2 linked regions of the Ovis aries genome follow. The protein of the gene in region 2 interacts with the protein of the main gene of each other region in a pairwise test. Links are inferred from orthologs where the notes say so. Each region holds a gene or a part of one and is shown on either strand. Other genes may lie near its edges.

The links. The genes of interacting proteins can lie anywhere in the genome.
Region 1: the proteins of FKBP8 (region 2) and ZFYVE27 interact in binary tests that used the Homo sapiens proteins (3 or more experiments, as listed by UniProt). The link is inferred for Ovis aries from reciprocal best matches to the Homo sapiens genes FKBP8 and ZFYVE27.

The regions. Positions count from the first base shown.
Region 1 is NC_056075.1:18,724,099-18,729,869, reverse strand, and holds part of ZFYVE27 (protrudin), read right to left. Parts: intron 5,080-5,771; coding exon 5,009-5,079; intron 3,288-5,008; coding exon 3,101-3,287; intron 337-3,100; coding exon 241-336; intron 1-240. UniProt on the Homo sapiens protein: Key regulator of RAB11-dependent vesicular trafficking during neurite extension through polarized membrane transport. Promotes axonal elongation and contributes to the establishment of neuronal cell polarity.
Region 2 is NC_056058.1:4,446,651-4,453,057, forward strand, and holds the start of FKBP8 (peptidyl-prolyl cis-trans isomerase FKBP8), read left to right. Parts: upstream 1-2,001; 5' UTR 2,002-2,027; intron 2,028-2,053; exon of another isoform or gene 2,054-2,242; intron 2,243-3,520; 5' UTR 3,521-3,545; coding exon 3,546-3,834; intron 3,835-6,407. UniProt on the Homo sapiens protein: Constitutively inactive PPiase, which becomes active when bound to calmodulin and calcium. Seems to act as a chaperone for BCL2, targets it to the mitochondria and modulates its phosphorylation state.

The DNA.
Region 1 (5,771 bases), on a different chromosome or scaffold from region 2:
CCAGGCTGGGAGATTACATGGCGAGTTATTTTTCTATTATTAAAATATTTTGAGCATACTGCGCAAAGAAGGTGTTAAACCAAAGCAGGGCATTAAAGCCCACAAGCCTACATGCTGATCTGCACACAAGAGCCTAGAGGGCTCTTTTCCCCTGAGCTACGGCGACAGGGCGCCTCTTAAGGCAGCGGTCTTTGCCTGGGGTCCTTGGGGCAGGGGCGGTGGGGACAGAGGGGCACTCACTGTGAGGACACAGTGGGGTTCTCCCAGTGCAGCACGCGGTAGGCGGCTTCGCAGGTGCAGCACAGGCGGCTCAGGAGGGCCTCCAGCTGGATCAAGCTGCAGACACAACACAGGGGGCTCACGCAAGCTGTGTACCCTGCCTTACCCACCCAGGCGGCCTAACAGAGCTCCAGGGCAGCAGAGCCCAGGGCTTCGCAGGCACAGCCACCTAGGTTCAGCCAGTCCCTTCACACCCCTTGCAGGGGTCAGGGAGTTCAGGGAAACTTCATACATTTCAGGCCCCTTCTTGGAAAACTTGCTGAGGTTCCTGCTTTGGTCTCTTCCTAGCTGTTGGTATTAGGCCAGTTACTTAACTTTTTCAAGGATGCAATTTTCCACTATACCATGAGGAGCAGGGTGCCACCTCCCAGATGCACTGGAGCTGTGAAGATGGATGGCAGGATGTACAGCAATGTGTCTCCACCTAGGGCTTCAGGTAGACTGACCTGGACAGTTTTTTTAAATGGATCCCCCACCCCCATCAAAAGCAAAGAGAGCACACCTGTGCAACAAGCACCCAGACCTTGGTTTCTGAAGGGCTCCTTGGAAAAATCGCTGATTCTAGAGCAAGGCAGGGAATGCGGAAGATGAATTTGAACATTCTACTGTATCATAGGGCTTCCCTCATAGCTCAGTTGGTAAAGAATCTGCCTGCAACACAGGAAACCCAGGTTCGATCCCTGGTTCGGGAAGATCCCCTGTAGAAGGAAATGGCAACCCACTCCAGTACTCTTACCTGGAGAATCTCATGGACAGAGAAGCCTGGCAGGCTACAGTTCATAGGGTCGCAAGAGTTGGACATGACTTAGCAACTAAACCACCACCACCACCACCATATCATAAAATTAAAAAAGTGAAAGTTGCTGTCATGTCCGACTCTTTTCAACCCCATAGACTATACAGTCCATGGCATTCTCCTGGCTAGAATACTGTAATGGGTAGCCTTTCCCTTCTCCAGGCTATCTTCCTAACCCAGGGATTGAACCCAGGTCTCCCTCATTGCGGTAGATTCTTTACTAGCTGAGCCACAAGGGAAGCCCAGGAATACTGGAGTGGGCCTTCGCCAACAGATCTTCTTGACCCAGGAATCGAACCAGGGTCTCCTGCATTGCAGGTGGATTCTTTATCAATTGAGTTATCAGGAAAGCCCAAACTGAGGACAAAATAAGATCAAAATTAATAATCATAGTAATGGATTATAACCCACTGAATAAAATTTTAAAATCCTGCATTCATATAGATAATAAGAAGGAAAAGCTCTTTCTTACAGAATGTCAGGCAATGATGACACTTAGGAAATCACCTATGCAACTATCACAGTAATAAACTGACGAAAGCAAGACCCAACAGTGGATTTCAGTGTAGCGGGTGAATGTTTGATGAGGAACAAGATACTTAACGAAGTCTCAAAGCAACCCCACTCAGATTACTAACTCTAGAGGGTAAAATAAATAGTCACTTTACAGTGGAGAAACTTTCACCAAGGTAATCGAAGTTACTATCTCCCATAACAGACAGTGACATCATGTACCTCTTGATATGATACAATGACGTCAAGTTTCTGCCAAAGATGCAAAAGCTGAATCCAATCATGAAGAACCAAATTACCGAAAGAAAAGGGAAGTTCTACAAAATAATAAACTTGTCCTATTTTAAAATGTTAAGGTCATAAGAAAGACTAAGGAACTGTTCCAGGTCACAGGAGACTAAATGTCACGTAAGAGTCTGGACTGGAGCCCAGATCAGGAGAAATTTATATAAAAGACCTTATTAGTACAACTGACAAAATTTGATCATGAACAATTATTAGATAATGGCACTAATGCTAATGTTATCAATGTTAAATTCCCAAAATCTGATGACAGGACTGTGAATATAGAAGAGAATGTCCTTGTTCTTAGAAAATATATACTGAAGTGTTTGGGGTAAATAGACAGGATGTCTGTAATTTACTTTCAAATGGTTCAAGAAGAAAAAAATTATGTCCTAGTGTAGGGAGATGGATGAAGCCGCTGTGGCAAAACGGTAATAACTGTTCTGTTTGGGTGAAGGGCAGATGAGAGTTCTTTGCACCATTCCTAGAACTCTTCCATAAGTTTAAAATCATTTCTAAGGAAAAAGGTTTTTTGAAAAACTGCAGATATGCAGCACCCCTGCCCCCGCAGACACTTGACTCAGAATTTTTTCAGAGGAGCCTAGCCCTCCACTTGTTTATAATTTTTTTTTTTGAGCTCCACAGATGTCTCTGCTGCCCAGGAAGAGATGAGAACCCCTGCTGTGTGTCACGAGAGCCACTGAAGCTGCTGCAGTTGTTGCTTGCCAACAGTCTGAAGGTGCTTCCTCAGGAGCTCCAGCTCTGCCACATTTAGGAAGTTCCTCCACAGTGGAGCGACAATGACTAATACTTAACTGAACACTTGCTGGGCACCAGACGCCCAGTTAGTCTTCACAACCACCTAGGAGGTAGGCCTATACTTCTCCCATTCAACAGATGACAAACCTGAGTAACTTGCCCAGAGTCACACTGGAGGAGCTGGGATCTGAACCCCGGCAGTGGCTCATGCGAGCATGTGCTCAGCCAAGACCCTAAACTGCGGAATCAGCTAGATCTGGCCTCCCATCCCAGCCTGGTCAATTGTCTTTTTCCTCCTTCATCAGTGGAGGTCAATCATAGGAGCCATCGCCCAGAACTCTAACAAAGACCAAAGGGAATACCATCCACGTTTTGCCTTACACGATGTCTGGTGCCCAGCAAGCACCCAGTGTGGTGGCAGCTGGTACCGTCACCATCCCTTACCCCCCTGGCCCCTTCCATACTCACAAGCTCTTCACCTCAGCCACGGCCTCAGGGCGAGACAGGCGAACTCTCTGCAGGTCCTCCTGCCTCACGCTGTGGTACTTCCTCCTCACCAGCTCAGACTCGGGCAGCCGTGCCCGGCAAACCTCCTGAAGGTAGCCCAGCAGGGCGGGCACTGAGATCATCAGGGCACCCACTGAGTACCAGGCCCCTGTGGGAGCAACAACACTGCAGCTCAGCGGGCAGCGGGGCCAGGAGCCGCCACCCACCCAGATGGCGCTCCTCGCCGCCGCCAGGCCTCTGCCCAAAAGAGCCCGCCCCAGACCACCTGGTATGAAACAGCATCTCCCCACTCACCCTCCAGCCTCGTTTTCCTCACAGAACCCACCACCACGAGGCAGACTACAGGCATGGCTGCTGGCCTCTCCGTGAAGGTAGGCCCCGAGGGCTAGGACTTTCCCCTAGCCCCTGGTCACTGCCGCAGCCCCAGCCCTTTCGAAAATATTGAAACCCCTCTAATAGCACACAGCACACCGCAGGCAGCTCGCGCCCGGGGCCTGGCCATGGGGAGCTCCCGACGTCTGACATTCTGACCTTTGGGTCACAGGGGCTGACTGGAAGCCTTCCGCTGGCATTTAGGACACCACTGACCACTCTGAATCGAGAAATGGTGAGGCTAAAATAAAATCCAAGGAAGGAACTTCTTCCGTGTTAACATGGAAGCAAGCTACCCGAGCACTGGGTACAAAGTAATGAAGCATCTGTCACCTGAACTAATTTACTGTGGAAACAGATTCAGAAAAATCTAACAGCTTGAGAAGGATATCTGAGTTTCAGTGAGGCGGAACAGCATCCTACTAAGACACAGAAGATGGGGTCTTATGTGAAATGGGTTTATTTTTCAACTCACTGAAACCACAGGCAGCAAAGGAGACACTTGAGAAATGGGAATTCAATAGAACAAAGGTATGAAGATAGGACCCAGCTCCTCAGAACATTCTATCCCAGGCCCTTCACTCATTTCCCTTGACAGGCTTGGCTTTTTCTGCAGCCATCTGCCAGTTCTGACCAAAAGGGCTGGGTCACAGCATGCCTTTTCATAAAAGGTCCCCAGGAGACCTCACTACCCAGGACCCCTCCAGCTACCCACCTGTCCACACACCGACCTCAAAGGCTGCACGCTACAAACCCCTCACTGCTGCTGACTGCCTGGCAGACCCCACCAGGCTCACTTGCTGAGCCAGAGAAAGTCAACAGGCAAAAATGCCTCATCAGTTCACCTTCCTAGTACCTTCACCCCAGGTCGTGTCCTCAGAAAGCAAACTGGGAAAAGTTCAATGAATTTAGTCCAGAGGAAACAATAATAATAGCTATGATGTACTGGCTGCTTATTTTAACTGTGTTAAGTGTTACACATAGATTATCTCGTACTTCACAACTATTCTCTGAGGAAAGCACTTCTATTATCCCCCTTCAGAGAAAATGAAATTTAGCCACTCAGTCATGTCCAACTCTTTGTGACCCCATGGACTGTAGCCTGCCAGGCTCCTCTGTTCACGAAATTCATCAGGCAAGAATAATACTGGAGTGGGCTGCCATTTCCTTCTCCAGGGAATCTTCCCAACCCAGGGACTGAACCCAGGTCTCCTGCATTGCAGGCAGACTCTTTACTATTTGAGCCACAGGGAAGCCCCATTCAGAGATGAGTATGATTAGGCCTTAAGAGACAGGCTAAAGAACTTCTGATGTCACACCAGTGGCCCAGTCGGGATCCTAGCCCCAGGTGGATCTCTCAGGAGCCTGTGTCCTGACATTGAGCAGACACGGAGGGAGGCTGACCCCACAGCGGGACAGGCGGCTCCCTCATACAGGGCCGATTCTCAGAATTCCTCTCCACCTTCATTCACAAAAAGCCCTGGAAGCAGTTCTTACCCTCGTTCAAGGTGAGGAACAAGATGTTGAGGCCCAGGCAGGTCAGCAAGGAACACAATGGCGTCTCCCACCTGCAACACAAGGCTGTATATTGTCACCCTGTTTATCTAACTTATGTGCAGAGCATATCACGCAAAATGCCAGGCTGGATGAAGCACAAGCTGGAATCAAGATTGCTGGGAGAAGTATCAATAACCTCAGATACGCAGATGACGCTACCCTTATGGCAAAAAGTGGAGAAGAACTAAAGAGCCTCTTGAAGAAAGTGAAAGAAGAGAATGAAAAAGCTGGCTTTAAAACTCAACATTCAAAAAACTAAGATCAAGGCATCCGGTCCCATCACTTCATGGCAAATAGATGGGGAAACAATGAAAACAGTGACAGACTTTATTTTCTTGGGCTCCAAACAGCTAAGTTGCAGATGGTGACTGCAGTCATGAAATTAAAAGACACTTGCTCCTTGGAAGAAGAGCTATGACCAACCTAGACAGCATATTAAAAAGCAGAGACATTACTTTGCTGACAAAGGATGGTCTACTCAAACCTATGGTTTTTTCCAATAGTCACATATGGATGTGAGAGTTGGACCATAAAGAAGGCTGAGCGCTGAAGAATTGATGCTTCTGAACCATGGTGCTGGAGAAGACTCTTGAGAGTTCCTTGGACTGCAAGAAGATCAAATCAGTCCATCCTAAAGGAAATCAGTCCTGAATATTCATTGGAAGGACTGATGCTGAAGCTCCAATCCTTTGATCACCTAATG
Region 2 (6,407 bases):
TTTGGCTCACAAGGCTGATGTGAGGATTGAAGCGAAAGTGAAGTCGCCCAGTCTTGTCCGACTCTTTGCGACCCCATGGACTGTAGCCTGCCAGACTCTTCCGTCCATGGGATTTTCCAGGCAAGAATGCTGGAGTGGGTTGCCATTTCCTGAGGATTAAGTACACATAAAGTGTTTGCCTACATCTGTGACACCTGTCAGTCACTGTTATATTACCATAATTGTTGATGTTATTACTTTATATTTGTTCACTTTAATTGTTTTTGTATTGTTGTTGTTTACTAGAGTTCCTTCTGCCCCTGTAACAGGGGTGGGACAGGTTGGGTAAATGACTCCATTATGCAGATGAAACAGATTCAGAGATGAGCAGAGATTAGTCCAAGTCCCTCAGAACCAAGACTGGCCCAAGGTTTATTTGATATTCATTCCCAGGCAATTTCACATAATCCTACTATCTTACCACCTCTTCCGGCTGGCCAGCCTTCCTTCCTTTCACAATGATTTCCCTGAATACTTCTCCGGTGGTTTTGTGCCAGGCACTATCACTATGTAGGTCTCAGGACTAAAACGATGAGAAACAATATATTCTTCCTCGATTTGGCGGTGGTTTAGTTACTAAGTGGTGTCTGACTCTTGCGACACCATGGACTGTAGCCTGCCAGGCTCCTCTGTCCATGGGATTCTCTAGGCAAGAGTACTGGAGTGGGTTGCCATTTCCTTCTCCAGGGGTTCTTCCTGACCCAGGAATCGAACCTGGGTCTCCTCCCTTGCAGGCAGATTCTTTACTGACTGAGCTATCACTACGTAGGTCTCAGGACTAAAACAATGAGAAACAACATATTCTTCCCAGATTTGGAGGGTCTTCCAGTCTACTGGGAGAGGCAGAAGTCAACAGATGGCACAGACAGAAGTAAATCCCCGATGAAGTATACCAAGACTGCACCCATCAAAACACCTAGTCTTGCCTTGGGGAGGTCAGGGAGAGCTTCCAATAGGAGGTGACCTCAGAGCTCCTATCTGACAAATTATCTCCAAAAGCGATTTACCTCCCACAATGTTAGCTACCTCCAAAAGCCAGCGTTTCATTTATTCATTAATTCAGTTACTCATCCATCTATTTAACTCCCATAGACCCTAAGCATCATTCAAGGAGGTGGTAAGGATAAAACAGGCAAAATTCTTTCCAGAATGGAGCAGAGTTAGAGGAAGCCAAAGAATTAGCAAGATCATTTTGGAAGAGGGTAACTGCAAGGAAGAAAAAAAAACAGAGTGAAGGAGGAGTAAGTGCCCCCCCCTTTCAAAACACGAGCCATAAAACCCCTTCTAATCAAAGCTGCCACCTTCTCCTTGGGGCCATGGGCACCTTATCATACTCCAGCAGGGGAAGAAGGGAGGCGGGATTCCTCCCAGTGGCCCTGCTCTTTCAGCAGTTAACCTAGCCATTATTGAGTTCCTCCAGTTTGCACCAGGCAACCTTCCCGGGATTAGACTAGACCACGTTGCGCCGGGGGTGGGGAGGTGGGGGTGGGGTACCAAGGTTCCGTGTGCCCTTGGGCACGTCGCTTTCCTCGGAGCCTGTGATCTACAGAAGTAACTAGGGATTCATGGTGGGTTATCCAGCAGTCTCAGAACTGCCCTGACGCGCAAACCTGAGTTCCTTAAGAAAGTACCATTTAATGCTGTCCTCCCAACATCCCTCAAGGTGAGAGTGCGTCGATAGAGGTGTTTATCCCCATTTCGCAGATGAGCCGAATGTCAGACAAGCGGTTAGTCTGACCAGGCTGCGGGGTGCTGACCTGTGAACTGACTAGGATCTACAGCACCCCCACCCTGACCCCGGCTCCCGCCTCCGCCCTCGCCCCCGCCCCCGCCCCCGCCCCCGCCCCCGGTCGGGGGGGTGGCGCGGCGGCCTCTGCCCCTTTAAGAACGCCCCGCTGATACAAGCAGGAAGGGGGCGGTGCCTGTACCGGAGACGGATGTGCGCGCACACCAATGGACGCTGTAGTCACTGCGGCGGCGTCCAATGGGTGCGGTGAGGGCGGGGCTGGGCGCCAGAGCCTGGTTCCCGAGGCGCGGCGGCCGCGGCTGGGGGCGGGGAGGGGGGCGCAGGACCCCAGGCTGGGGTCCCGGAGCCGGAGGCACGTGTCCCGGGGCGCCAGCGGGGCCGCGTCGGCCCGAAGCACTGCCCGGGCCTGGGCTAGTCCGGGGCCCGGCGCGGCAGGGGCTGCGACTGCTAGGCGGGGTGAAGGGCCGCGGGGGAGGCGAGCTGGGGGGCGCGGGGGGGGGTCGGAGTGCCCGAGGGGGTGCTACATGGTGGGGGCGACCAGGAGTGGGGGCCACGGAGGGTCAAGAGCAGCGGGTGGGGGCGCTGCCGGCTGAGTCGTGCAGGGCCAGGGGTGCCCGAGGGTTGCGGGGGGTCGGGAGCCCCAGACTGGTGGCGTCAAATAGGCGTGGGGCGTTGAGGACTTGGGTGGGAGGTTGAAGGAGGGCCAGGCCGGGGCAGGGGGCGTCTGGAGAGCCTAGGGTGTTATGGGATTGGGAAGGGGGCGTCTGGGGAGATCAAAGTGTTCAGGGGCGACAGACCAGCTGCGGGGGAAGCTGGCCCGGGCTGGGGGCGGTGGTTGGGGTTGGGGGAGGGCTATTTATGCGAGCGCAGGGGATTGTGGGGGTTGGGGCTGGGAGGGTCTCAGAAAATGGGACCCGAGCCCGGAAGGGGCAGGCAGGTGAGAGTTAGGGAGGAGATGCTGTGGGCTATAATGACGGCTTTACCACCTCCAGAGCTCGGGGCCTAGGGGAGGGAGTCAGTTCTTGATGGTCCAGGGAAGAAGCCGTGGGGGTCTCGACCATTTCTGTAAGGGGGAGGCTACTTCGAAGGTGGTCAGAAGGCCTGAGGAGAGAAGGGGCTCCTAGGGAATGGTTTGGGACACGGTCCCTGGGGTTGGGGGGTGGTATTAGGTTCAGGAAGGTATTGCGAAGGAATGCCTTGGGGTTTCTGGGAGGCTCCCCTTAGGAGATGGGACAACTGAAGGTGGGGAGCCCTGGTAAAGATTCACTTTATTTTTCTCTTGGGCTCTAAAAATAGCCTCCCCAAGATCTCAGGGGTTGTCCCCCAGGAAAAAATCCCAGCACCCACTCTGGACAGATTAAGCCCCAGGTTCCAAATCCTGCATCCTGTGGTTGCCTTGCTCTGTGACCTTGGGGAAATGGCTTTGCCACTCTGGGCCTCAATTTCCTTTTCTACAAGGGGATGTTCTCTACTTCCCAGGGTGTTTATAAAGATTAAATAATAATTAACTCTAATAATAGCTACTGCTGTTTGAACCTGATGCCAGGGTTTGGTGAATGGGTTGTTAAGTCCTTGGAACAAACCAGGATTGTTTCTCTACCCACTGTACAGATGAGGAAACTAAGGCCTGGAGCTCCTGAGTCACACAGCAAGTGATGGGCACTGTGGGGAATGGAGGCAGAGGAGATGTGAGGGGTGTGATGGGATTCTTACCCCATCCATTCCCCCCACCAGGGCCAGTTCCCATCCCCCCAGCAGCATGGCATCCTGTGCTGAGCCCTCTGCTGCAGACCCTGAGCCCACTGCTCCGCCGCCTGCTGGGGTCCCCCCACTTGAGGACTTCGAGGTGCTGGATGGGGTGGAAGACGCTGAGGGCGAGGAGGAGGAAGAAGAGGAGGACCTGAGTGAGCTGCCACCACTTGAGGATGTGGGGCAGCCCCCACTGGAGGAGGCCGAGCAGCCCGGGGCCCTTGCCAGAGAGTTCCTGGCTGCCATGGAGCCTGAGCCTGAGCCCGCCCCGGCCCCCGACGAGTGGCTGGACATCCTGGGTAAGGAGCAGGGGTGGCTCGGGTTGACCCATGGCGCCCAGACAGCTCAGGTTTGGGAGTGACCTTGGCCTAGGCCTTCTCCTCCTGAGCCTCGTTTCCCCATCTCTGTCGTGAAGGAGATTGGAAGTAAAACGTGGTAACCACGGTGATCACTAGCCACAGGCAATTGCTTGAGACACTTCATGTTTATGAGCCCTTTTCTTGTCTCTCTCTCTCTGTCACACACACACACACACACACACACACACACACACGTATGACTTGCTTTCTCAGAGCTGCTAAAAGGACTCAGAGACGCTGAATCACCTGCTCAGAGCCACACAGCTCTCAACCCCCATTCCTTTTCTTGGCATTTGTCTGACCCGTGCCCCCCAAAACTGTGTTCTAAGGTCAAGTAGATCTGTGGAACATCCCAATCATAGTCTTCATTAGTGTGCTCAGTGTTGAGAAAAGTCCTGGAAGAGAGAAACTAGGAGAACCCATATGCGCTGCAGCCTCCACTAAACACTCTATCACAGCAACTCTGGAAAATAAACACAGTACTACTAGTTCTGATACCTAGAACACTCAGTAACGCCAATGTCCACACAAATGATAGCACATCGCTAGTAAGTAGTATCAAATGATACAGACACTGGTAAAACCAAGTTGGTACTGATTTCACCTCCACTACAGACACAGACTTTACTATGCCTAAAAAAAAACAAACACCAGGTGATGTTTACTAAGCAGTGGTTCCGTGCCAGGCCTGTGCATCCTCTGATTTTATCCTCACAGCAACCTTGTGCTGTAATTCCTACCATATCCCTGTTTGACAGTTAGGGAAACAGGCTCAGAGAGGTGAAGGCACTTGTCCAAGGTTGCACAGGCCCCTTGGCTCTGTTAAAGTTTGGGAAGTTCTCTACTGACAGGAAGGACTGCCCTGCTCCCTCTGTGAGCATGAGGATGGCTCTGTTTGTTTATATTCGAGCCAACCACTCTCTGAGGCCAGAATTCAGGCTTCTAGACAAAGAAACTGAGGCCTTGAGAGAAGCTGTGATTTACCCAGAGTTTCCCCAGGCAAGAGACAACTCCTGGTTGAGATCCTACCAACATATCCCCTGTTAGTGTCCAGAAGCCTCAAGACACAGGATCCCTTGGCATCCACTAGATAAGTGATTCTGAAACTGGATGCAGGAGCAGATATAAGTTGGGGAGCCCTGCAGAAATTTGGAACACTCTAGAATATTCCACAATATGAGTAGATCTCCCTGCCCATCATCTTTAGACTAGGGTCTGCTCCGACTCATGGCAGTGTTTTCCAGACCTGGGGACTTACAGAATACAGGTACTTCTTGTACACTGGGTGGCTGCAGGTGTCTTGTGCCCCGTAGGTATAAGCCCTCTATTCACCCCAGTAGTTGTAATGGGATGACTGTGGGTGTCTTCACTGTGGGGCTCCTTGAGTGGGTTTGTGAGGGCCTGGGGCCTTGTGCCTGGTCCTCAGGAGGTGTTGGCTGTGGCCATCTGGCCACCCCTAAAATTGTTTGGGGTATGGGGAAGAACGTAATGGTCTCCTTGGTGGCTGGAGGGGGGAGCTAGGGGTTACTTTTGCTTTTAGGTCTTTCCGTGTGATGTGGTGCTTTAGTCGGGACACACTCCTGGCATCACAGGTACTCTACTGACCAAGCAAGCTACTCTCTGGGGGTCACCAGGAGAAGCCCCAGCCACCCCGTTTCGTGGCGGGGTAAACTGAGACCCAGATGTCTCAGGGCTGAGATTGGAACCAAAGGAGAGGGGACAGGGCAGCGCTCTTGAGTCTCTTTTCTGGGCATCCCGGCGCCTTGACTGTGATGGGCAGGAGGGCTTTTCTCAGCCCTTTGCCTTCACTGAGCCGAGATGTTTTTCTTCTTCTCCTCTTCTTTTGGCCACTTGTGGGATCTCAGTTCCCTGATGAGGGCTTGAACCTGGGTCCCAGCAATGAAAGTGCAGACTCCTAACCATTAGGCCACCAGGGAACTCCATTTTCTTTTTAAAAATTATTTTTAATTTAGCAATTAACTAGATTTATGTTTATACTGACATTTTCCTTTTAATTAGTTTGTTTCTGGCTGTGCTGGGTCTTCGCTGCTGCTCTGGCTTTACTCCGGTTTTGGCGAGCAGGGGCTACTCTGCAGTTTTAGCGCATGGGCTTCTCATTGCTCTGGCTCCTCTTGTTGCTGAGCACAGGCTTCAGTAGTTGCAGCTCCCGGGCTCTAGAGCACAGGCTCAATAGTTGTGGCGCACGGGCTTACTTGCTCTGTGGCATGTGGGATCTTCCCAGATCAGGGATTGAGCCCATGTTTCCTGCATTGGCAAGTGGATTCTTTACCACTGAGCCACAGGGAAGCCTCATTTATTCATTCTTAATTTTTGGCTGTGCTCGATCTTCACTGCTGTGCACAGATTGTTCTTTGTCATGGAGTGGGAGCTGCTCTAGCTGTGGTGAGCTGGCTCAGCAGTGGCAGTCCACGGGCTTCGCTGCCCTGCAGCGTGTGGGATCTTAGCTCCCCAACCAGGGATCAAACCCTGCATTGGAAGACCTCCAGGGATGT